Astyanax mexicanus: one gene and its partners. The protein of the gene in region 2 interacts with the protein of the main gene of each other region in a biochemical or structural test. Links are inferred from orthologs where the notes say so. Each region holds a gene or a part of one and is shown on either strand. Other genes may lie near its edges.

Evidence for each region. The genes of interacting proteins can lie anywhere in the genome.
Region 1: the proteins of hdac6 (region 2) and tubulin polymerization-promoting protein form a complex in vitro, tested with the Homo sapiens proteins (2 studies listed by BioGRID). The link is inferred for Astyanax mexicanus from reciprocal best matches to the Homo sapiens genes HDAC6 and TPPP.
Region 3: the proteins of hdac6 (region 2) and mapk3 form a complex in vitro, tested with the Homo sapiens proteins (2 studies listed by BioGRID, with this or other methods). The link is inferred for Astyanax mexicanus from reciprocal best matches to the Homo sapiens genes HDAC6 and MAPK3.

Annotation. Positions count from the first base shown.
Region 1 is NC_064408.1:122,732,115-122,740,018, reverse strand, and holds the start of tubulin polymerization-promoting protein, read left to right. Parts: upstream 1-4,741; 5' UTR 4,742-4,853; intron 4,854-7,904.
Region 2 is NC_064419.1:4,052,251-4,060,325, reverse strand, and holds the start of hdac6 (histone deacetylase 6), read left to right. Parts: upstream 1-4,887; 5' UTR 4,888-5,266; intron 5,267-6,263; exon of another isoform or gene 6,264-6,266; 5' UTR 6,267-6,304; coding exon 6,305-6,391; intron 6,392-7,455; coding exon 7,456-7,566; intron 7,567-7,825; coding exon 7,826-7,911; intron 7,912-8,075.
Region 3 is NC_064426.1:25,608,881-25,616,425, forward strand, and holds the start of mapk3 (mitogen-activated protein kinase 3), read left to right. Parts: upstream 1-4,382; 5' UTR 4,383-4,589; coding exon 4,590-4,801; intron 4,802-7,545.

The sequences.
Region 1 (7,904 bases), on a different chromosome or scaffold from region 2:
AGACTAATGAACCCATCCCAGAAGAAGTCATGCAAGCCCAATCCATGACACTACCTCCACCTTGTTTCAAAGATGAGCTGGTATGTTTGAGATCACGAGTAGATCCTTTCTATCTCAAAATATTAGCCTTTCCAGCACACTAGTAAAGATTTGAGCACGACAGTGATTTTAATACATTTATTTCCAAAGTGTTATCGTTAAATAATGGTTAAAATAATGAAATTAAGGCAAATAAATGGTATGCAAGTCCAAACATGCAGAAAAGTGATGTCAATCAATCAATCAACCTATATTTTGACTCGGAGGTACATTAAGGGGCAACCCTCATTTACAATGTAGCCAAGCAAATTTACAGAAACAGGGATTGACAAGACAATAGTTAAATTTACTTATTTTAAAATAACAGTAAATAAAATATAAAAATGATAAAAAATAAAAATAGAATTAGAATAAAATAAATAGTAATTATTATAATAAATCTTGGTTTAATTGATATTGATAAAAAAATAAGATCAAAAGAATATTAATTCAAGATTAATACAACAAAAATGAGTTAAAATTAGCTAAAACTAACTTTTACATAATACAACAAAAATACAAATAAATAAACTAAAAAAATAAATGAAAGAAAGAAAGAAAATCAAAATAAGTTAAAAAGCAATAATACAAAACTATTACAATAATAATAATAATAATAATAATAATAATAATAATAAAATAAGGAAAGAAATAAAAAGAAAATAAAGAACTAAAAGAAATAAAAAATAAAAGTTAATAATAAATAAGATTAAGCAAAACAGGCTGTCTGAAGGTGGTTAGATATTAAATGTTTAAAATGATGTAGTGACAGCAGTGAGCTTTAGTGAGTTTTAGAGTTTCCTGTAGTGAATAATTCCAGCTCACTGCTGCTGCTGTTCTGTAGCTAAAAGCAGATTTCCCCTGTTCACTAAAAACTTTAGGAATCTGGCACATTGTAACTTAAAAAAGTTAAGTAATGGAGAATGAAAACTTGAGTTAGCATAAATTAAAAATTCAAGTTATTACAACTAAAGGGGAAGTTGATTTATTTGTAAGGTAGCCCAGGGGGAATCACTACCAGTGAAGGTATAGTTACTTTGAAAAAGTAATCCGATTACTGATTACTGATTACTCCTTTAAAAAGTAACTTAGTTACTTTATGGATAACTTGATTTTAAAAGTAACTAAGTTACTTTACAAGTTACTTTATTAGTTACTTTCAGCAGCTGCAGACACCACCTCCCGCCACCTTAATAACCAGTTTTGCCAATACTCCCTTTATTGGAAAATACATTTTTAACAGCATCAATTTATCTCTATTAAGTTGAACTATTTCCTAAAAAAATACTTTTTTTTTATAAAAATAAAAAAAATTAACATAAATATTTTTTTTATAAAAAATAAAATATGGTCTTTCTTGATTTTACTAAACATAAATACTTGTTTTTATAAAAAAATATATAAAATAAAGAAAGTCTTTCTTGACCTGACATATTTAACACTGTAAAACTGAATATTGAACCTGTTGTTCTCTGCAGGGCAGCAAGGAGTGGTTTTATAAAACAGAACCGTGTATATGGTCTAGACCAGGGATCACATATATGCAGACTGCGGTCCGGGTCCGGACCCATACCGGACCCAACTACTGAGAAGGATTTAATTCTGACAGTGTTCATTTAAAGCACCGGAACTTTTCTTGTCTTTACGGTATGTGCGCTCTGCGCCACAGTGAACTTCCAATCACGTGTGGTGTAAAATCTTTAAATGCTCTCCTCTGCCAATCAAATTTGTGGCAGACCGCTGCCCTGGCTAGTGAATTGGGACGCGGCCGCAAAAAAAAAAACGCTTTAATAAAGAGATAGGGCGCCGAGAACTGGCGAAAAACGAAAACGGGCGGAAACTAAAGACACGCCGAGCGCGAGAGAGAGAGGGGAGAAAGCGAGACGCGTGTGATTGGGGAAGAGCGGAGGGGGAATGGGTAAGGGAGCGGTGTGTGTGTGTGTGTGTGTGTGTGGAGGAGATGAGGTGGAGAGAGAGACGCACAGTGACTTAAATAAGTAACGCGTTACTGACATCACTGATCACTACACACTGATGGTGAGTGTCTGTCAGAAACTGTTGGACACACCCAGTATGCAAATAGATTGTGACAGAAGCCAATGAAAAAGAAGCTGTTAATGACAAAACAGACTAAACTTAGTTATTATAAGTTGGTTCAACTCAAAGATCTCAGTTTGAATAGTACAGTATATGTGCTCACAAATGTTCAGCTAACTCAAAGTAGTTGAGTATTGTTTAGAAATATCCAATTTTATATAAAACCGACTTAAATCATTTGAGTTTAAACAGCGTATGAGTTTACAGTGCAGCTGCTCCTGAACACTAGAGCGAGTCTGATAATTACTGTTCTTTACATTCATCAATAAAGTGATGTATTCTGACAAATTTAACCCTGTAATGTATTAAGTAACCACACGATGGCGCTGCTGAGTTACACTGTGAGTTATACTGTACAGTTCCTCAATAGAGCCTGTTACAAAACCACACACATCCTCCAGCTGAAGCAGCAGCGCAGAGCCCGAGCCTCGCTCTCCTGCCCCTCTGTTTATTTCTGTTATAATGCCTGTGTTATTAAGGGTCTACCCCCCCCCCACCCCGGTCTCGCCCGTCCTGTGTGCTGAGTTATATAACCTCAGGAACTCAGCACAGCCTGAACACAGGCGACGAACACAGTAAATAAAACCAGGACGGAAGCTTTAAAAATACTTTATTCTAAATATATTCTTCCTTATTTTCTTTATTTCAGCTTTTGTTTCCGCTGCAGGCAGAGCTAACTGCACCACCAGCCCACACTAAACACCCCTCCTCTCTACAGAAGAACAGCCCATGAAATAAAGCCTTATATACACTAATAGGGCATAATATATACTGTGTCCCATGACTTTTGGCACATCCCAGGTATGGAAAAGAACACTAGTGTCTATTCACACAGACTATTCTAGACAAACCTTTTTAAATGTGTTTGTCCACTGTGCATGGTAATATTAGTCTTATATAAGGAGTTCAGCCTCCCTCGCCACAGCCTCACATGATAACACCTCACTACTTATACAAGTGTGAGTGTTTCCAAGCTGTGCCCTGAGGTAAGCTTTATGATGATCAAGTTATATTTTTGCTCTCCCATGACTTTTGTCATGTCATGGTAGTTTAGCCAGTCTCATAACTGCACAGATGGATGGATGGATGGATGGATGGATGGATGGATGGATGGATGGATGGATGGATGGATGGATAGATAGATAGATAGATAGATAGATAGATAGATAGATAGATAGATAGATAGATAGATGAACAGGCAGACAGATCAAGTTACAGGCAGACAGATCAAGTTATATTTTGCTGTCCCATGACTTTTGTCATGTCGTGGTATTTTACCCAGCCTTACATAACTGCACAGTTATGCCTTATTATAGACAGACAGATATATAGATAGATAGATAGATAGATAGATAGATAGATAGATAGATAGATAGATAGATAGATAGATAGATAGATAGATAGATAGATAGATAGATAGATAGATAGACAAACAGAGACATCAACAGGAAGACAAATACATAGACAGACAAATAGAGACATCAACAGGAAGACAAATACATAGACAGACAAAAACAAAAGGATAGACAGGACAGACAGACTTATAAACAGAGATATAGATAGTCAGAAAGACAGACAGACAGACAAAACAAACAGATAGATTGATAGACAGAGATATGATCAGGCAGACATATAGACAGAGAGACAGATATACAAAAAGGCAGACAGACTTTAACACACATAGTTGGAAAGACAGACATATAGACAAACAGACAGACAGACAAAAACAAACAGATATAGTCAGATAAATAGACAAACAGATAAATTAACGGACAAAAACAACACAAAAAACACAGAAAGACATACTAAAAACAGACAGACATTTAGTTAGAAAGACTGAAAGACAGACAGTCACCCAGATGGATAGACATACAGACAGATAAATGAACAGGCAGATATATAAACAGTCAGACAGATAGAGCAAGACTGACAGACAAATAGCAGTAATTAATAAAAAATATATATTTTGTAAACTATAATAAAATACTGAATAATAATGAAACCAAGTGATAATCATGTAATTAAAATGTATTATTTAAAAAATAAATCATACATATAAACCCAGTAATATACAAATCTGATATTAAAATTAAATATATGCCAAAGGGTCGTGTATATATATATATATATATATATATATATATATATATATATATATATATATATATATATATATATATATATATATATAGTTAAAAATTAAATAATTTTCCTTAATAAACCGCTACTGTTTAAAATACACATTAAATGTAAAAAATACATTTCGATTGTGTCTCATATTTAAATAAATACATGCCCATATATTTCCTCACTTTGTGAAAACAAAACAAAACAAAACAACACAACAGTCACAGCCCGAGCCTCAGTCAGATTAGACTGACAGCCTCTCAGCCAATCAGCGAGCAGCTCCGTCTGTTTACATCAATCTGACCAATCAGCGCCCTCCTGATGCAGCGTTTCAGCCAATCAGCGCCTCACTTCCCCAACGCCTCACCCAACCACAGAGCTCCATAACCCGCCTGCTCTAACCAATCACAGAACCCCGCCTCCGCCCTCTTAGCCAATCAGGCGTCTCCGTGTCCGCCAGCCTCCCTCCGATCGGCAGCGGCTCGGTTCCCGCGAGCGGTCCGGGGGATGTTTCAGTAACGGCGGAGCGGAGCAGCGTGCGCGGCGGACAGGTGAGCGCGTGACCCGATTTTTACTTGCGTTGTCTTGCTTTTATGTGTGCACGCGCGCGTGCGTGAGTGCGTGTGTGTATTTGTGTGTGCGTGCGTGCATGCATGCATTCGTGCGTGTTCCGTCCGTGCATGCATGCTTGCGCTTGCGTGCGTTGGTGCTGTAGCGTTTGGCTCGAGCTGGCTGTGCAGCTGAGCTCGAGCTGGGTTTCCAAACAGTGCGCGAGCGAACAACAACAACACAGAGATCACGTGGACTCGCTTTCCGCGGGCACGTTTATGTAACAGTGCAGCGCGAGCGAGGAGATGGGCTTCACGCTCAGCAAAGAAAGGGATGAGGCTGAGGAAGAGGAGGAGGAGGAGGCTGGAGTGTGTGTTATCATTTTTATCATGACACTGATGCTTTTAGTGCCGGGATGCAGGAATCTGATCATCAGATCAATAATCAGATCAATAAGACATTGATTTGATGGTGAATGTTTAGCATGTGGTAATTTATACATGGTAAAATGTATGTATTTTTCACAAGATTGCATGAAAATGCTTCCTTCACTCTCCTGTAAAAAAGCTTTTTAATTCTAATTTTGGGTAGTGCACCTCCTGGTGAGAGATCGTTGACAGCTACACATTCCTTTACGACACACTCGATCATCAGCCAGCCGTCGTCTTTATCCACAAATCCAGGTTCTGAATGGAAAGCTTAGCTTGATTAGCTTGCTAACAAATTAGTGCCCATTCCACCAGTATACAACTTTTAATTGCATCTTTAAATCCCAATTATACCACAGTTAGTTCCGACCCTGCATTGTGATTGGCTGAGAGGTGTAATATGAGTGCCGTTATCAGCCGGAAATGCACTGTAACCAAACCTTTTAATACCTTCTAGATGGTAAGATTAGCCTAGTTTATCTACCCAGGTAACAAATTAGCGCCCATTCCACCAGTAGAAAACTTTTAATTGCATCTTTTAATCCTAAGCATTTTAGGGGTGCGTGTATTACAGTGTGCTCTCTCTGGATGGTTTAATCCCTTCTAGATGGTAAGTTTAGCCTAGTTATCTACACAGGTAACTAATTATTCCACCAATGTAAAACTTATGGAATTCCATCTTTCACAAAGATTCCAGCTTTTAATCTTAAAGGCCCCAGAAATATGCTTCTACAACACACTCGAACATCGGACTGAAAGAAGGACAGCTGTTTCAATAGTAAATTGCCTGCAATCAAGACCAAACATCAGCCAACCAATCGTGTTTATCATCAAACCCAGGTTCTGAATGGAAAGCTTAGCTTGGTCGACTTGCTAACAAATTAGTGCCCATTCCACCAGTATAAAGCTTTTAATTGCATCTTTTAATCTCAAGTATTTTTTCAATGTAATCTCTTTGGATGATTTAATCCAGGGGTGTCCAAGCATTTTTTGTTGGGGGCCAGAAGGAGAAATATATTTGAAGTCACGGGCCACAGACTGTAATAAAACAAATAATGAAATATACCACTTTAAATAATACTTTTTTCCTGATTACTTTCATTTACACACCATTTTACTTAACTTACTATCTTTATCAATCTTTGACAGTGTTGTGTAAACTAAGATTTTTCAAATTGGTGTTTCATTTCATGATGTCTCTTAATATTAAACTCCTTAATTACGGCAAGTTTTAGACTCTTTGGAGCGTTTTTCTGCGCTAGAACTGCGCACTCTCTCCGCTTTTAGACTCTTTGGCCCGTTTTTCTGCGCTAGAAATGCGCACCCTCTTCGCTTTTAGACTCTTTGACCCGTTTTTCTGCACTAGAAATGCGCACTCTCTCCGCTTTTAGACTCTTTGGCCCGTTTTTCTGTACTAGAGATGCGCACCCTCTTCACTTTTAGACTCTTTGCCCCGTTTTTCTGAGCTAGAAATGCGCACCCTCTCCGCCTTTAGACTCTTTGGCCCATTTTTCTGAGCTAGAAATGCGCACCCTCTCCGCCTTTAGACTCTTTGACCCGTTTTTCTGCACTAGAAATGCGCACCCTCTCCGCTTTTAGACTCTTTGGCCCGTTTTTCTGCACTAGAGATGCGCACCCTCTTCGCTTTTAGACTCTTTGCCCCGTTTTTCTGAGCTAGAAATGAGCACTCTCTCCGCTTTTAGACTCTTTGACTCTTTCTGACACCTAGCGTTCAAACTTTGAATCTCACATTATAAAAACCTGCTTAACAGCGGGCCAACTTTCATTCTATTTCTAAAGTACCTTGCGGGCCGCTCCAAAAAAGGAAACGGGCTGCAAATGGCCCGCGGGCCGTAGTTTGGACACCTCTGATTTAATCTTTTCTGAGATTAAATAGGTGCGTTTTATTATGTTTCAGTAAACGCTCACGTTATGGTGATGACTGGATGTTGTAACAGTCCATATGGCTGCGTTCTGGCGGACGCATGGTCTGCAGTCGGATATGTAAATGAGGAATCACTGTGCCGAGGTTAATTACTGACGGCAGGGAACAGCCACTTTTCAGGCCACTGAGCTGCAAAACCGAGACCGGGGGAATCTGGGGCAAACTGACTGAACCAGACACATCTAATCAGAGCATATAAGAACGAAACTAGATCTGTGTCCTGATAAAGAATCCTGATTCAGATCCAGTTTCATTTTCACTCTGACTCGATTAGACTGTGACACTGAAAAACATGCTGCTTTTTAAAGCCAGTATGAATTAGAATATGAAAATAGAAATTACTGTTGTGTCCCTTGACATTTGCCTGAATGAAGAAGTGATTTCTGCCACACTGTTTTGTCTGATATATGTAATGAATTTAAATGTATATTACCCCTAAATCTAATAACTTGGTTCTTTACTCTTGGCGGCAAGAACTGCAATCAAGCTTTACTGATAACTAAAAAAGAGTCTTTCTGATCTCTGTGGAGGAATTTTGTTCCACTCTTCTTTACAGAATTATTTAATTCAGACACATTGGAGGATTTTCCAGCATAAAAGTCAATTTAATCTCAATCAGACTTTAACTAGACCCTCCAAAACCTTCATTTAGTTTATTTAATCCACTCAGAGGTGAACTT
Region 2 (8,075 bases):
ATTCATTAGTTGTATTGTAAGTGTGAGAATTTTTGATATGCTGTAGCATCCAGTCAGACCATATCCCTGACAGTTTGTTTGGTTTGCATATCATTATTTTTTTCCGGGTGGGATGAATAAATTCCATTCAATTTACATACAGAAACAGGCCTCCGCTGTCTGCACTCTCTGTGCCTCAGCCTGACTCTACCACTGATTCACAAACACGCACTACCGTACAATACAGTTCTAATAAAATAAAGGTGATTATCCAGTTAATCTGAGCTCTCCAATACCATCACCTCAGCACCAGATCATCATCAGATCAGCTTCTTCATCATTCCAGAGGCCACAGTATGTGACATAGTTAAGCATCAATAGAATTGATACTATCAGCAAACAAGACTCTGCATGTACATCCAGTTTATTTTCTTTTGTTTTTAGAATTTGGGACAGATGTGCAAAAAGGTGTGCAAAATGTTCAATCTCCCACTACAAAATAAAACCAAATAACCTTCACATAATCCATTATCATCTTACATTAAAATAAACAGTTATAGTAGCACATAAGGGAGTCTAATGAATAAATACTGGGAATTCTTGATATTTTAATGCACCTAAGTCTATGTTTTAACTATTTTTTTATTTTAATTTTAGTTAATAGCTACTAGGTTATTTTTTTAGCTAGCCAGCTATGCAGAACCAAATCTGAACCGAAGGCTAGCTTAATATAATTTACATTTCTAAGAAGGTTATATTTCTAGACATACTGTAGGCTATGGGTTAAATTCATATAGAAGTATAGAAGTTGGCCTTAAAGGGTTTAAGGAGTTAGTTCACATGAACACATGGAAAAAAGACAGATGACATGTGATGAACGTGTGAACTTTTAGATGTGCATTAATGTGGATAAAAAAAAGATAAAAGAAATGATAGAAATGAAAGAAAATATAGGATTAGCCCCCTTTAAATATGAATACAGAATATGCAAACACCTATTGCCTTTTTTTTACATTTCTTTAAGAAAAAAACAGTCCATAACATAACTATATCAAGTGTGTGTGTGTGTGTGTGTGTGTTGTGGTATTATATTGAACAAGGCCCAAAATTTCAGACATACAAAATATCAATATTTATTTTCAACCCCTTAGGCCCTATGTTGTAGCTCATAGTTTTGTAGTTTAGTTTTTACCTCTCATAACTAGCTATACCACAGTCATACTTAGGGTAAGTTTAATAGCCCCTACAATAGAACCCTGTGGGATTCAATAAAACATGCAAAACCATTTCTTCTTCTTAACTGAATGATAATCCTAGAATACAGAATCTTCAAAGACTAAATGCACATTTTCAAATATTTCTTTGGCTAAATCAAGTCTATAACATATGCTCTATGTGTGTTTTTAGTGTTGAGTTAAATGAGGTCCAAAGCTTCATTAGGAAAACACCAGAGAAGACTGCAAATGTTCTGGAAATGTTGTCCCAGATTCCAGAAATTCGAAATTCTTCTGTATATTTTGGGGAATACAGATTTAAATATACAGATAGAGCACATATGACAATTCACAGTCTATTTGTAGCTTAATTTAACATTTCAGCTCCTCCTCAATGGGCATTCGCTCTGTTCGCTCCTCTGGTCATCTCTTCCAGGTGTGCACGATGCCTCTCCATGGGTCCACATGGCCCAAAATGGCGCAATGGCCATGATGGCAAGGTGGCAGCCTCTGCAGCCTCATGTCAATTCTCTCTCTCTCTCTGTGTGACACCTACACAGTCTCTTTTTCCTCATTTCTCCTTCTCTGCCCCCCTCCATCTGTTTCACTCTTTCAGTGTTGACCACACAGCTCATCTCCTTGGGCCTCTGCTGGAACCCCATTGTGCAACGCAGGCAGCTTTTTGGTTTTCCGGAGTCTCTGAAAAAAACATGTAGAAGGGAAGGAGAGATGCTGCAGTGATGGCATGGGCCCCTGATGGCTCGTTTTTTCAAGGTGCCAAGAAAAGTCACATCTCTCTCTGGTTTCTGTTGCTGGCTTCCTCCGTTCGGGGTGAACCGGGTTTATCTGGGTGGCCAAACAAGCGGGAAATGGAGCAGAATGACACATGGAGATTAGCAACCACAGGCCAGGACCAGCCAACACATGGGCACAACCGTTAGAGCTCGCTCGCCCCGCCATCTACGCCTGTCATATAGACACACACACACACACACACACACACACATACACACACACTCGCTCACTCACTCGCTCAGTCATTCACTCACTCTATCCAAGAGACTCTTTCAGATCACACATACATGTATACTCAACCACATACACACATACAGAGAAGAAGCTGTAGCAGAGTGGACTGGCTTTGTGGCCTTTGCGCCTTGACCTTTTGACCTTGCAGCACATATTGGCCTGTAGTCGAAATAATCTTTCAAAAAAAATGAAGAAAAGAATATGTTTGATCAGATTCACACTGTGGACAAGCTGAAATTAAACAAACTTAAATTCAACTTAAAAGTCAAATTGAAAAGTTGAACACTTTTTAAAGCTTATTAAGTTCACAGTTCAGTCTGCCAGCCCAAATCAGATTTTTGGCATATCTACTGTATATTGTATCCAGAATGGTTTGTGATAGTTTGAACAGCCGGAATCCACATGAAATATGATTTTTTTATTTGTGAATTGGATTCAAACCACATTTGGAGATTGCTTCAAATGTGATACAAATATATGTACAGATCTGTCACAGTCTGGACACTCTGGATGCTGAATCCAGAATGAGGGAAGTGTGGGGGCACAAGAAGAGCTCTAAAGATTAGTTACTGATACCTGTTATTAATGCTTAACTCATTTAAGTAAATTAGTTTATTTAATTTACAGTTCAGGCTGTGTTTACACTGCAAGCTCAAATCTGGATTGCATATCTAGATTGTATCCAGATTAGTTTATAAAAGTCTGGACAGCCAGAAAAAACCCATACAGGAAAGGTTGTATCAGAGCACAGTTAGAAGACCTGAATAAGAAAACCCTAATTTCTGAGATGGGTGTCTGGATTAAGCAGTTCCAAAAGGTACAGTACAGTGGTATAAGCTTAGGCCAGGCTTATATATTCAACACTTTACTAATGATAAGGCCACAGTGCAGTGAACACACTGATAAACACTGCTTTACAGTGTTTCTGGTTAGTGTGATAGAGGTCAGGGCAGGAGGTCAGGGCACCACAGAAAAGAAAAAAAACTATTTGCAAGAGAGCATGTACTTTCTACTAAGATCTTAGCATGATTTATTGTAATATATTTATTTAACACACAACATAGTCTACAGAGAGTATATTATATTATGGCTACACTTCCTTAAGGCTGTAAGTAACAGATGCACGTGTGTGTGTGTGTGTGTGTGTACGGAGAGTGCCGGGAGGAGGGGGTGCAGTGGGCTGCAGTCTTCCCAATCCCATCGTGCACTTCTCACCCACTTTCTGCTACTTGTCTGCTAGACCTCAGTTTATAACGGTAAATGCTGTTCTGAATCATGTAATTGCTATGCTATTGTTGACTGATATGCCTTGCTGTTGTTGTGGCTGTTTACATTGTTAAGTGAAAATTGTCACTTACCTACCATGAGACTGGTTCTGAGCCATTTTAGGCACCTTCTGGTAAATTTCACTGTTCACTGGTATTTGGGTTCTTCCACAGAACGCTTCTCAGTGCTGTATAAGTGAGTCTTCTGCTCTGGTCCTGGAGGGCTGGTGTAAAGGATGTAAATGTCAGGGCTCTCTGGACTCTACCGATAAGTTGTGGAGCTACTTTGAGCTTGGATAATGGTGTAAAAAGCGATTTATCTGCAGGGGCAAAATATGCCCCGTTAAAACCTATTCTAACCTGTTTGGCCAAATTGCATTGAAATACTGGTTCTCAGAAAGCTGTGGTTGAACGGAGGTGGGCTATTCAACTAAAGTTATTACTTTTTATCATGTTCATGTTTTACTACACCCAAAGTCCATTTTACACCGGAGTTCTCCATTAATGTTTCACCACTTTATTTACTCTATTACTTTTAAAAGACCAACATATTCAACACAATTTTTTAAATTTACAACACTGAAACATAACATTGCAATTTTGTTTTAGTTTTTTTTTTTTTTTTGCAGGGGGTGGTTGCTAATATGAGCGGATCCATTTTCATATTATATGTTGATTACACTTATTAAGGCAAGAAGAAGAAGTTTCATACTGAAAAAAATACTTCTAACTATTTTTCCTAGAGCTTCAGACGGGTCAATTTGACCCATACAATAATAGGAGGGTTAAATCATGGCAAAGACTTGGAATAGATTGGAACCTAAATTCAGTGATTAGGATAGGTGAGTTTAGTGATTAGAAAGGGTGAGTAAATAATATAATAATATAATGTATATTATACAGCTCTGGAAAAAAGAGACCGCCTAAAATTCAGTGGCATAAAGTTATCCAAAAGCAGTGTGTAAGACTGGTGGAGGAGAACATGATGCCAAGATGCATGAAAACTGTGATTAAAAACCAGGGTTATTTTACCAAATATGGATTTCTGAACTCTTAAAACTTTATGAATATGAACTTGTTTTCTTTGCATTATTTGAGATCTGAAAGCTTTGCATCTTTTTTGTTATTTCAGCCATTTCTCATTATTGTCTACAAATAAATGCTCTAAAAATAATTATTAAATGCGAGAAATGTTGTCCGTAGTGTAAATAATAAAACAACAATGTTTATTTTACTCAAACATATACCTATAAATAGCGAAATCAGATAAACTGATTCAGAAACTGAAGTGGTCTCTTCATTTTTTCCAGAGCTGTATATCACATTATTGTTGGAGTAACAGCGACCCCGCGTGCTTTGCTGAAGCACGTGCAGGTAGACGTCATCCGCTCGCGCCCTCCAGAGCTGTTGTTGCTGTGAGTGAAAGTAGCAGTGCCGCGGGTAGTTGCGGTGGCTCCGGCGGGCGGCGGAGCGGTTTTAGCTAATTTATCTGAATAATTTAATAAGCAGTAACTCAGCTCCGGTACTGTAGCACGTTTATATGCCGCTCCTGTCGGTAGACGCTGTTTTTATCCGCTTATTTACCTCAGTTTTGTGTGGAAATGGGGGCGGAACCTTAGCTCGGTTAGCATTAGCCGCGGTAACGGTCGGACTGCCGGAGCGCCAAGCAGCGTTTAAACACAGCTGATGAAGCAGAGAGACAGACAGCTGAGAGAAAGAAAGACAGCTGAGAGAGGGACAGGAGGGACTATCTGAACCGAAGGACGAGTTAAAAACATAGTAAGTGATACTTTTGTGGTGTTATTCATGTTTAACGACACAGTACTCACATTAAAAGTTGCTATATACAATACCAGTCAAAATAAGGACACACCTCTTTTCAGTCAGTGTGCTTTTTCTTTCTGTTTATGATTTTTTTATATTGTACATTCATTATTTAATTTGTAATACTATATTAAAGTTATACAGAAACACATGCTGAATTATTCTGTAAAGAAGAAGTTAAACAAAGCAGAATATGTTTTAGAATTACTTTAGATATGACAAAGAAGAATACACTACTGCAACAAAATGAACATTAAATTGTATTATTGTATATGATATGGCACACCCCTAACTGACTGAGATATAAAAAAATATAAGAATTTTATCAGATTTGTAACCGAAGTCAGTGATGTCATGGTTCTAATAATGCACTCCAAATATCTCCATATATCCAGGATTAAAGTAAAATAAATTATACTGGCAGATATAATCTGTCTATAGTAGATATATAACAAGAAATGATAACATTAACATTTTTCTTTTGCTAAAAACAGCAAAAAAGTAGTACCCTGATGTGATAATATAGGGGTGGGTGATATGGCACCATATTTCAGGGTATAAAATCATCCACAATATTAAAAAATGCTGGCGATGTTATTGCATACAATACGATATGTCACACTCCTGCTTTAGATTCTACTAAGTAGGTTAGCACATTCACATTCACAGCCATCTTTGAGGACAGATCTGCACGCTCTTCGTATTTTAATCTCAGTGTCTTCATGAAGGAAAGTCACCTGGAATAGTTTTCTCAGCTTCTTGAAGGAGTTCCTGGAGATGCTAAACAATAGTTGCTTCTTTTCCACCCAAATAAGACTTAAGGGCTTTGACTTGTTTGTTTGATTATTTATGAGTTTTTGTTCTTTCCTTATAGTATGCCTTTTTAACACTGACGCTTGAAATTAAACAGTTTTTTTGTGTTACAGTTTTTTCTTTTTTTATATTTAAAAAGCAGGATTTGCTGAGGGATTTGCCGTGGGAGTTATCGTCATAATGGAATCTGCATCAGATCCCACTCCACCAAGAGCACATAAAGGCTCTTCTCGTTCTCCAAAAAAACCTCAGCAAAACTCTGCCAAAGTAAGAAATATTCACCTTTTTAAAAGCTAAAGCCAAATGTCTGTTTAAAACAAATTGTCAGTGTTGTGCTGTGGGTTTACTTGTCAATCCGAAGCTCAGCACAGGAGCAAGGCTTCATGCGTCGTCCACCAAGTTTCCCAGAGCTCCTTTCCACTGAGTCTTCTGAGTTTGAAATGACCAAAGATCCAGTCGTCATTAAGACATCAATATGAGGCCAGAAATTGTGTTTACTGATGGTTTTAAGTAGCCGATTTCAGTATTGGGGAACAATGTGCCACATCTTACATGCAGTTCCAAAACAAGCAATAGTTTTAGTCAAGCAAACGTTAGAGACAAGATCATTCTTTTCTCTCACTCAGCATTACTAGAGACTGCTGGAGTTGTTAAGCAAGATTAGTTGCATTCTTTGTAAATTTATATCTTTGGCGGTAACAGCCTTCTTAAAGTTTTTTTCTGACTGACGTTGCATGGAAGTGTTTTAGATTCACAGTCGAGTGTAACAATATATACATTACGTACACTGTTATCAAAAATTGATAATAATAGAATTTACTAAACCGTCAGCTTAATACTTATTAAAACACATATTTTTTTTAATAGTGGTATGTTGTGTGATGCTTATACAATTATAACATTAGTACAAACATTAATACAAAGACAGTTTGGTTTATTTCCCCAGTTTTATCAAATTAATAATTCATTGATTGAAAAAATAATCAACAGTTGAAATGATTATCAAGATAATTGTTAGTTTCAGCTGTACTGAAGTGAATTGAGTACTTCTTAATAAGTGGTACTTTAGGAACAAGATTGAGAACAACTCACTTAGTAAAGCCTAAAAGCAAACACGTTTCAGTGCCTGGATTTCTATTGTTTCAGTTAATTGTAGTGATCCATTAGATTAGCTATATAAGAGACCTTCCCTGATACAGTGCTGAGCTTTGTATAGAATAGAACAGGTTAACTTGCAAAATGTGGACCTGAGTTAGATAATAGGAGATTGGTGAAGTTTATGTGGAGCTTGTGTGATGGTTTGTAATTAACCTGAAGCTTCTTTATCTCAGAGAGAAAACAGCAAACCCAACCACAAGCAGAGTCTCCAGGACGCCAGGAGAAAGGGCAGAATGGACCGAGGGAAAGCAGAAGAGGAGATGATCAATAAGCTCAAAAACATTGTGCGTATGTTAGAGTGCATTTTGGTGCAGAATTTTAATTATATGACCTATTTAGTTTATTTTTTCTCATTTTGTTGTTTTATTTTTTCCACTGAAAATATAGCATTTAGATTTTTGCACTGCTTGAGATTTTTTGTTCTATTCATAATCATATAACGGCATGCAAACTGTTCATATGATAAGTAAATGTCATGTGAGTTTAGTACAGTAAATAAGTTCTGAACAGTATGTGAATGGGTTTGTGTTTATTTGCTTGCAGGATTTGCGTTGTAAGCCTAAAGCAACTGGAACAGGCCTGGTTTACTCTGAAGCTTTTACTCACCATCGCTGCCTCTGGGACACCAGGTGACTGCAGTATTGTATATGCTTATTCATTCTTAATAAAAATAAGTGAGTAAGTGTGTAAGTGTGAGGGTTTTTTTTTTTAGACTTTTGTTGTTTAAAGAGGTTTGTTACAGAGGTTTGTAAGCTTTGTTATTGCTTCATTCTTAATGATTTACTTGTTGCTG
Region 3 (7,545 bases), on a different chromosome or scaffold from region 2:
TTTAAATAATAAGGATGAATAATATTAATTATTATTTGTTGGAAGCACATTTGACCTAAAATGATCAATGTAGGTGTAGAAGAGCTTAACCCAAACATTCAAAGCCTTTAGGATAAATGTATGTTGATTTAATGTCAGAATTTCAACCTTTTTTTCAACTGATGTCAAATTGTGGTTGTTTTAAAGTTGTTTTTTCTATCATTAACCTTAAAATGTATATAATTTCTAATGTTCCTTGCTATCATGAATGTTTGTAGTTGTTTTTGTTTGTTATTTTGATATATGCTCAACCCTGAACCCCTGAATCTCTTGTCAATGAAATTCATACTGGTTAATACATCTCTACACAGTGTCTGATGTTTGGTCTGGCTGAGGGTCTAGGGAACAAGTCCATTTTCCTTTTCTGTTTTGCACAACATTAATCATAACCAATCCATCTAACCACACCAGCTAGCCAGCAATATATTTCCAAGACTTTTCTTATCATCTTTAATTTGATAATAATATTCGTGTAAAGCATGTGACCTCATTTAAACACTTCAAGACTAAACTTTTAATCATTTGACTCAGGCACCAATTTGCAAACTGCCCGCTAGTTATATTCTGGTGTGATAAGAAGATCATATCTAACCAACTTAACAGAAGAGAGACAAATTTAGCTAGGTTATAACTCAATCTCTACAGCATCGTAACACTCATTATATCATCATATGACAGAGGTGTGAGCAGCTGTTGTAGAGTTTCTGTAGGACTAAAAAAGAATAAGATGTGTGTCACTGTGATCAAGGTAACAGCCCTGCTGAAACATCAAGCTTAAGACCAGATATTAATGTATAGATGGCCTGAGCTGGTCTTTGATGGTCAGTGTAGTTAACAATATGCTGATGTGAACTAACTAACCAGCCAGCATTTCAACATTTATTCATGACTGAATCAATATCATATTAAGATGCTGAAAAAGGTCTTTAGAAACAGAAGTATGATAACTCACAGTTTGTTTACAGGTCATTTTTTTTAATATTTTGTTTTTCTATTTTCACACAAATACATTTTGTTACAAGTCGTATTATTAAAAAATAAAATCTTTAATAATGATTAATGATATGTATAAGACAAGCACATTAAATTGATAATAATTTAAGGTTTTGCTGTCATATTGGTTTACCAGTGTGGTCATGCTTATCATGCTGTTTAAAACACTGTAAACCCACAATTAGTTTGAAGTAAAACAAAATTAAGCCTGTTTTATCTAAAATTTCATATTTCCAAACATTACTCAACTATTTTATACTAGGTGAACATTCGTGCCCACATACAGTATACAAAAAATAGGAGACCAGTTTCTGAATCAGTTTCTCACAGTTAAAAATTTCATGTTTAGCTTGGTTTGATGGCTTCTGATCATCCATCTTCCTCTTGATTGTATTCCAGAGGTTTACAGTTTAGTAAAATCAAAGAAACTCATCACTTTTAAGTGGTCTCTTATTTTTTCCGAAACTGTACACATTTAAACAGAGATCTTTGTCAGAGATCAGAGAGTTTTGTCTGTTGCCACTGGCAGCTTCTTTTCCATTGGCTTCTGGTACAACCTGTTTGAATTCTGGATGTGTTTCTGACACTAACATCCATCTGTGTATCTGTCTGTCTGTCTGTCTGTCTGTCTGTCTGTCTGTCTGTCTGTCTGTCTGTCTGGCTGGCTGTCTACCAGATTGATAGTGCTTGTAATACTGGTCAATGTATGTGTTAATGCTGGTCAACCAGTAAGTTCAAGCTTAGTCATAATTGTTATTTATCGGGGCCAGATGGACCATGCTTGAAGACTAGATTATTCAATCAGCTTTACCAGCTTGACCAGCATGAGGGAAAAACATAACAACATGAAAATTGGGTTATTAATCATTGGATTCAATCATTAGAGGGCTGTCTAATGGAAAACTATTACCTCATTAGTAGTTTGTGCTTATCAAATTACTGCCACAACACAAATGTTAATTTCTGTTATCACATTTCTTACTGTTTCTAGCTTACAGTAATGCTTTCCTCACAGTGGAGTGGCTTGCCCTCTACTGCTACATTATTAATATATGCTATTGCTGAATATAAATGGATGGGCATTTTAGCCCACAATCTAGATATGTTTTAGTCAAGTCACTGTAGTTCAAGAATAACTTTATTTAAACCTTTATCTGTCTGTCTATGTTAAAACACTGGCTATATAATTGACAGTGCAGGGATTTTTTTTTACATGTAAAAGGGCATGCTAACTCGTTAACTTTTTATCACTGTTGATTTATGTCACGTAATCAACTTCATATTCATTCATATCACATTTACATATCAGTGACAACACAAGCACACATCAACTCACATTACAATGACTAACACATTTAATTTCATAATATGTAGGGCGTAGAGTGTGTATGTTTATTAAAACAGATCTTAAGATTAATGTCATCAGTTTGCTCATGGGCTTATCTCTTTGATCTCATGATCTTATCGAATTAGAGTGGTTCACTATGATGGGAGCACGTATAAACCTGAATGTTTGCTTACATGATTCGCACAGACACAAGATACATTCCTATCATCCCACCGCTTCTCAGTGAAGAGGACTATACAGTGAATTTGGACATTTTAGGTGAGATGTGAAAGTATATGGAGTAAAGTGTTCAGTTTAAAGGGAACTTTGCACTGCATACTGAAGAAAGTACTGTATGAGTTTATCACTAGGAATTTGTCAGTAATGTTTACCCATCATTCCGTGTATGTCTCACTGGCTGGGGCTCACCATGAACACTACAACACGGTGTACACACAACACAAATCTGCTGTTGTTTAGCCATAAAATCACATATATTCTTTTTGTGCATACACAGCTGTGACACAGGCCTGTCACAGTATATTGTATACACAACATATTCATAAGAGAAGCACCGATGTGGGAATTCTGAGCTGATGGCGATATCTGATATTTCACCACCTCTGCCAATGGTGATGTGGATATCCACATTTATAACTTACAGAGAGACTACACACCCCACTATACTGTCTCCTCCACAAGTATTAGGACAGTTAGGCCAGTCCTACTATTGCTATCTGCTGTAAACTGAAAACATTTGTGTTTATTATTAAAAGACAGAAGATAGAACCTTTTGTCTGACAAAACACAAAACAAACAAAAATTTGCTGTCTTTTGTCTTCAGATTCAGATGCAGAAATAAATAGATTGGCCTCACTGTTCCAATATTTTTGGAGTGGACTGTAACTTTATAACTTTAAAACAAATATATATATTTTTTTTTATTGCTTAAATCAATTAATTTTAAAGTAGCACATGCAGTGTTGGGTAATTGTAGCAGCACGGCAAGCATCACTTGGTCCTTTTCCTCTGCCAAACAGGTGTCCTAGCGTCCAATTTTTTTTTCAAAATTAACATTTTAATATAACATTATAGTCATTATGGCTTTTAGAGAAATAGCACTATAGGCTCCTGTGGTGCCGCCTAAACTTTTGTCCTTAATGGCATTTTTCCCCTTACTTATACTTTATATTTTATAATTCAAGTAGTTTTGAAACCAGAACATTTACATTTTTACTTGAGTTGATACTTTAACTTCTACAGAAGTATTTTAAACCCTAGTATCTATACTTCTACCTGAGTAATGAATGTGGATACTTTTGACACATTTGTTTTCCTATACCTGTGGCCATGGAAGTGATTAAAACCAGTCAGTCAGTCAGTGAGTCAGTCAGTGACTCAGTGGTTTGGATGGGTGAACGAATATGTTTTGTAATTTTGTGTTTTTAATTAAATTTACTTTAAATTGACTTTTTAACAAACTTAAAAATTTTAATGGAACAATTCATAAATTTTTGTTTTGAACGTGCTTTTTTATTTTTTTGAGGTGAAGAAATTTGACGTTAAGAAAAAATACATTTCAAAATATGATTTTCAGATTTGGAAAAATCAGATGCATAAATTTCAGATAGATCAATTCAAATCAATCTACTGGATTACATCTTTGTTCTAATATTGTATTCTTGAGTTTCGAATAAAATAGATTTTAATTTAATTTGGATTTTTTTATTTTATTTTATGGGTTTTAACAGCCATTTTCACTACCTCCAATTTCAAAACACAAAAAGTTGTTAGAATTAAAATGTTTGAATCTCCTCATTAAATATTTCAAGTTTATTCAAAAGTCAGGTAAATTTAATTCAAATATACAAAATGCAGATTCAATACTTATGTCAATACTTTTAAGCCACATATAGCTGCTAATAAGGTTTAATAGTAATATAATATACTGGTAATAACCCCGCTAATCGTGGGCGGCGCAGATCTGCACACGCCCAGCGTCGCTGCACGGGAGGGATCCGCGTCCACACACTCACACAGTCTTTATCGAAGAGGAGGAGGAGGGCCTCGATTTATCGACTCCTCTTCGACTGTCAGGCGAGCGCACTCGTCCACGGAAAACCACCGCGGCCGCGATCTCAACAAACAGCAGCAGAACACGCGCGGGGACGCCTTTTATCGCCTGAACTCGTTTGTATTGATCTGAGGGTGCGGATTTGTGGACGGAGTGATGGCGGACTCAGGCAGCAGCGCAGCGGCAGCCGGAGCCGCAGGCTCGAATGGGAGCGCCGCCGGGGCAGGAGGAGCGGTGCCGCCCGGGGGAGCGACTGGAGCTGCGGGATCCAAGCCCGGCCTTGAGTCCGTGAAAGGGCAAAATTTTGACGTGGGCCCTCGCTACACCGATCTGCAGTACATCGGGGAGGGGGCGTACGGGATGGTTTGGTAAGGGGAGGAAGTGTTTGCTGACATTTCTGTGTTTTTGTTACACATTTTAACGATATAAACACCATGAGAGAAGCTGCTGCTGCAACAGTAGGGTGGGCTCAGTTCGCTAGCGTTAGCTTAGCAGCGTAGCTAACCTAGCAGGATACTTGTAGGGGTGGATAACCCAGGTCCAGAAAGTAAAGGGCCAACCCAGGGTTTTGTACCAACTGCCTGGGCGGCTATGCTGCAGCTGGTACAAACCCTGGGTTGGATTTTTACTTTCTGGACCTTGGTTACCCACCTCTACAAGTATATAGCTAGCGACTTATCCTAGCTGTCTTACGCGCTAGCTTAGCATCGCATAGTCGGCTATGCTGGTAAATCCAGGTTCATGATTTGAAAAAGAAATCCAGGCCAAGATTTGTTTCCAACGGCTTTAGCAGAGCCTCTGAAGTCGAGCTACAGCAGCGCTGCCAATGCAGTTGGAATAAAATCCTGGGCTGGATTCTGGCTAACGCGAACTTTCTGGACCTGGATTTACCAACACTAGCAGTTGGATAAAAAAAGTAGGTGTTGGTCCTTGGTGGCTGTTTAAACTAGATAGTTAACGTTATATTAAACGACAATTGTAGCTAACTGTAACGTTAACCATACGCTATATAGCTAGCTATATCTGTTTATATAGGACGTTCTCCAAGCGTTAACTAAACATTATCCTAACATTATCCAGCAACTAACCTAGCTAACTAAACAAGATGACGCTTAACGTTAACTATGTAAAAAACAGGCGAAGATGTTGTGCATTACAATACAGTTAACTAGCCAGTTACAAACACAGACGCATAATAATAATAAACCCGCCCATAATAATGTTAATGAGAATAATAAAGACAATAGTAGTAAATCAAAAAGTGAGATAATAGAATACAGTAAAAAAAAAAAGCAAAGCAAAAAAGTGTTTGCATAACTAACAGTATAAGCTAACTAGCTAGTCAAGACGTTGGTGTTAAGACATAACAGGTAGCTAGTTAGCTAGCTAACATAAATAACAAACATAATAGATACGCATAACCGAGCTAGCTAAAGAAAAAAAAAATAGATATGGGTAAAAAGGAGTTAAGTAGCTAACTAGATGTTTAGTATACAAACAGTGTAACTATCAGCTGGGTTAGCTAGTTATTTATGTTAAGAATGTCAAATAAAGGATTAGCATTATATTTAAACGTTAAAATATAGTAAAACATGCTAGCTAACGATAGCTAATAGGAAAAAAAGATGCAAAGGATTTGCAAGGAAGCGAATCAAGCAAGCTGTCATTTTGATGCTCATCCTGTTAGCTTACCTAGCTAACCTAAAGTTTATACAGGCATTGGCCTTATATTTTTAACCAAACCACAATATAAATGTTACTAAAGACATGTCCATGTCCGCTCTGATAATTTTTGTTTTTTTTTCGTCGCCCAATCTCTAAAAGAGCCAGTGTTTGGCTGGTTAGCTAACTTAGCTGGCTAGTTGTGAGCTAAACCTGCATGCTAATCCATTAGCTAGCGTTTAGCGGCTTGACATTTCATTATGTGCTGCCTGTAGGAAAGGCGTGGTTTTACCATAATGCTAATTGTGTGTTTAGTCGGGGGAGTGAGGTGGCAGAAATGCTGCTTTTTTCAGGATTTTTAAACGCTCTGAATGTTGCTAAATGTAGTTAAATGCATTAATAGTTGTTGTGCTTTGTAATTAACACTGAATTGGCAGTCAGTTAGTTCACGTTAGGTGGCCCAGCGAACACACAGCATTGTCACAACGTTGGCTACGTTCTTACAACGTTGCTACAATGTTGTCAAAAGGTGGCTGTTCTTCTCATCACAATGTTTTGTGCTTTTCTACAAGTCTGCTGCAGTGGGATTAGAAAAGAAAATCAATCTTAGCTTTCAACGGAAGTCAGTGAAAAAGATTTTATGTCCAGTAATTTTAAGCATTTCTATTGGTCCATGAAATGATCAAATTACAAATCCACACTTTTAATCACAAACCTACAGACCCCCTATGGTGACAACGTGGAATAAAATATGTACTTATTAGTGACCAAAGCTTAATTAAAACTTGAGAACCAGATAATTAAGTCGTGGGGACGATTGTTATGGTCAGGACTCAATTTGTCTTGTTCCCACACTAAGTCATGGCCACACATTAAAATCTTGTTCCCACACTTGGTTGAGTCGTGGCCACAAGTAAGGATCTTATTCCCATGCCTAAATAAGGTATGGCCACACATTATGATCTGTTCTCACGCTTTAATAAGTCATGGCCATGCATTAGAATCTCGTTCCCATGCTTTATTAAGTCGTGGCAATGCATTCAGATCTCATTCCCATGTGTTTTTAAGTCGTGGCCACGTATTATGATCTCGTCCCCACGCTTTAAGTAATGGCCACACATGAGAATCTCATTCCCATGCTTTAACAAGTTGTTATTATTATTATTATTATTATTATTATTTATTTTTATTTTTTTTTTGTATGTTTTAACATGGTGTCACCTTTGTAGTAAACAGAAAAGACACGCAACTTTTTAAAATAAAAAACGTTATGTATAGTGGATTTGATAATATTAACAAAAACAATACATTGTATAGCTATATATGTTTATATGGGGCTTTCTCCGAACGCTCAAAGTGAATAACAAAATATAAACCTAACATTGTCTAGCTTGCAAACTTGGCTAGCTATGTAAAATTTACAAACATATATATATTTATTTAAAAAAGT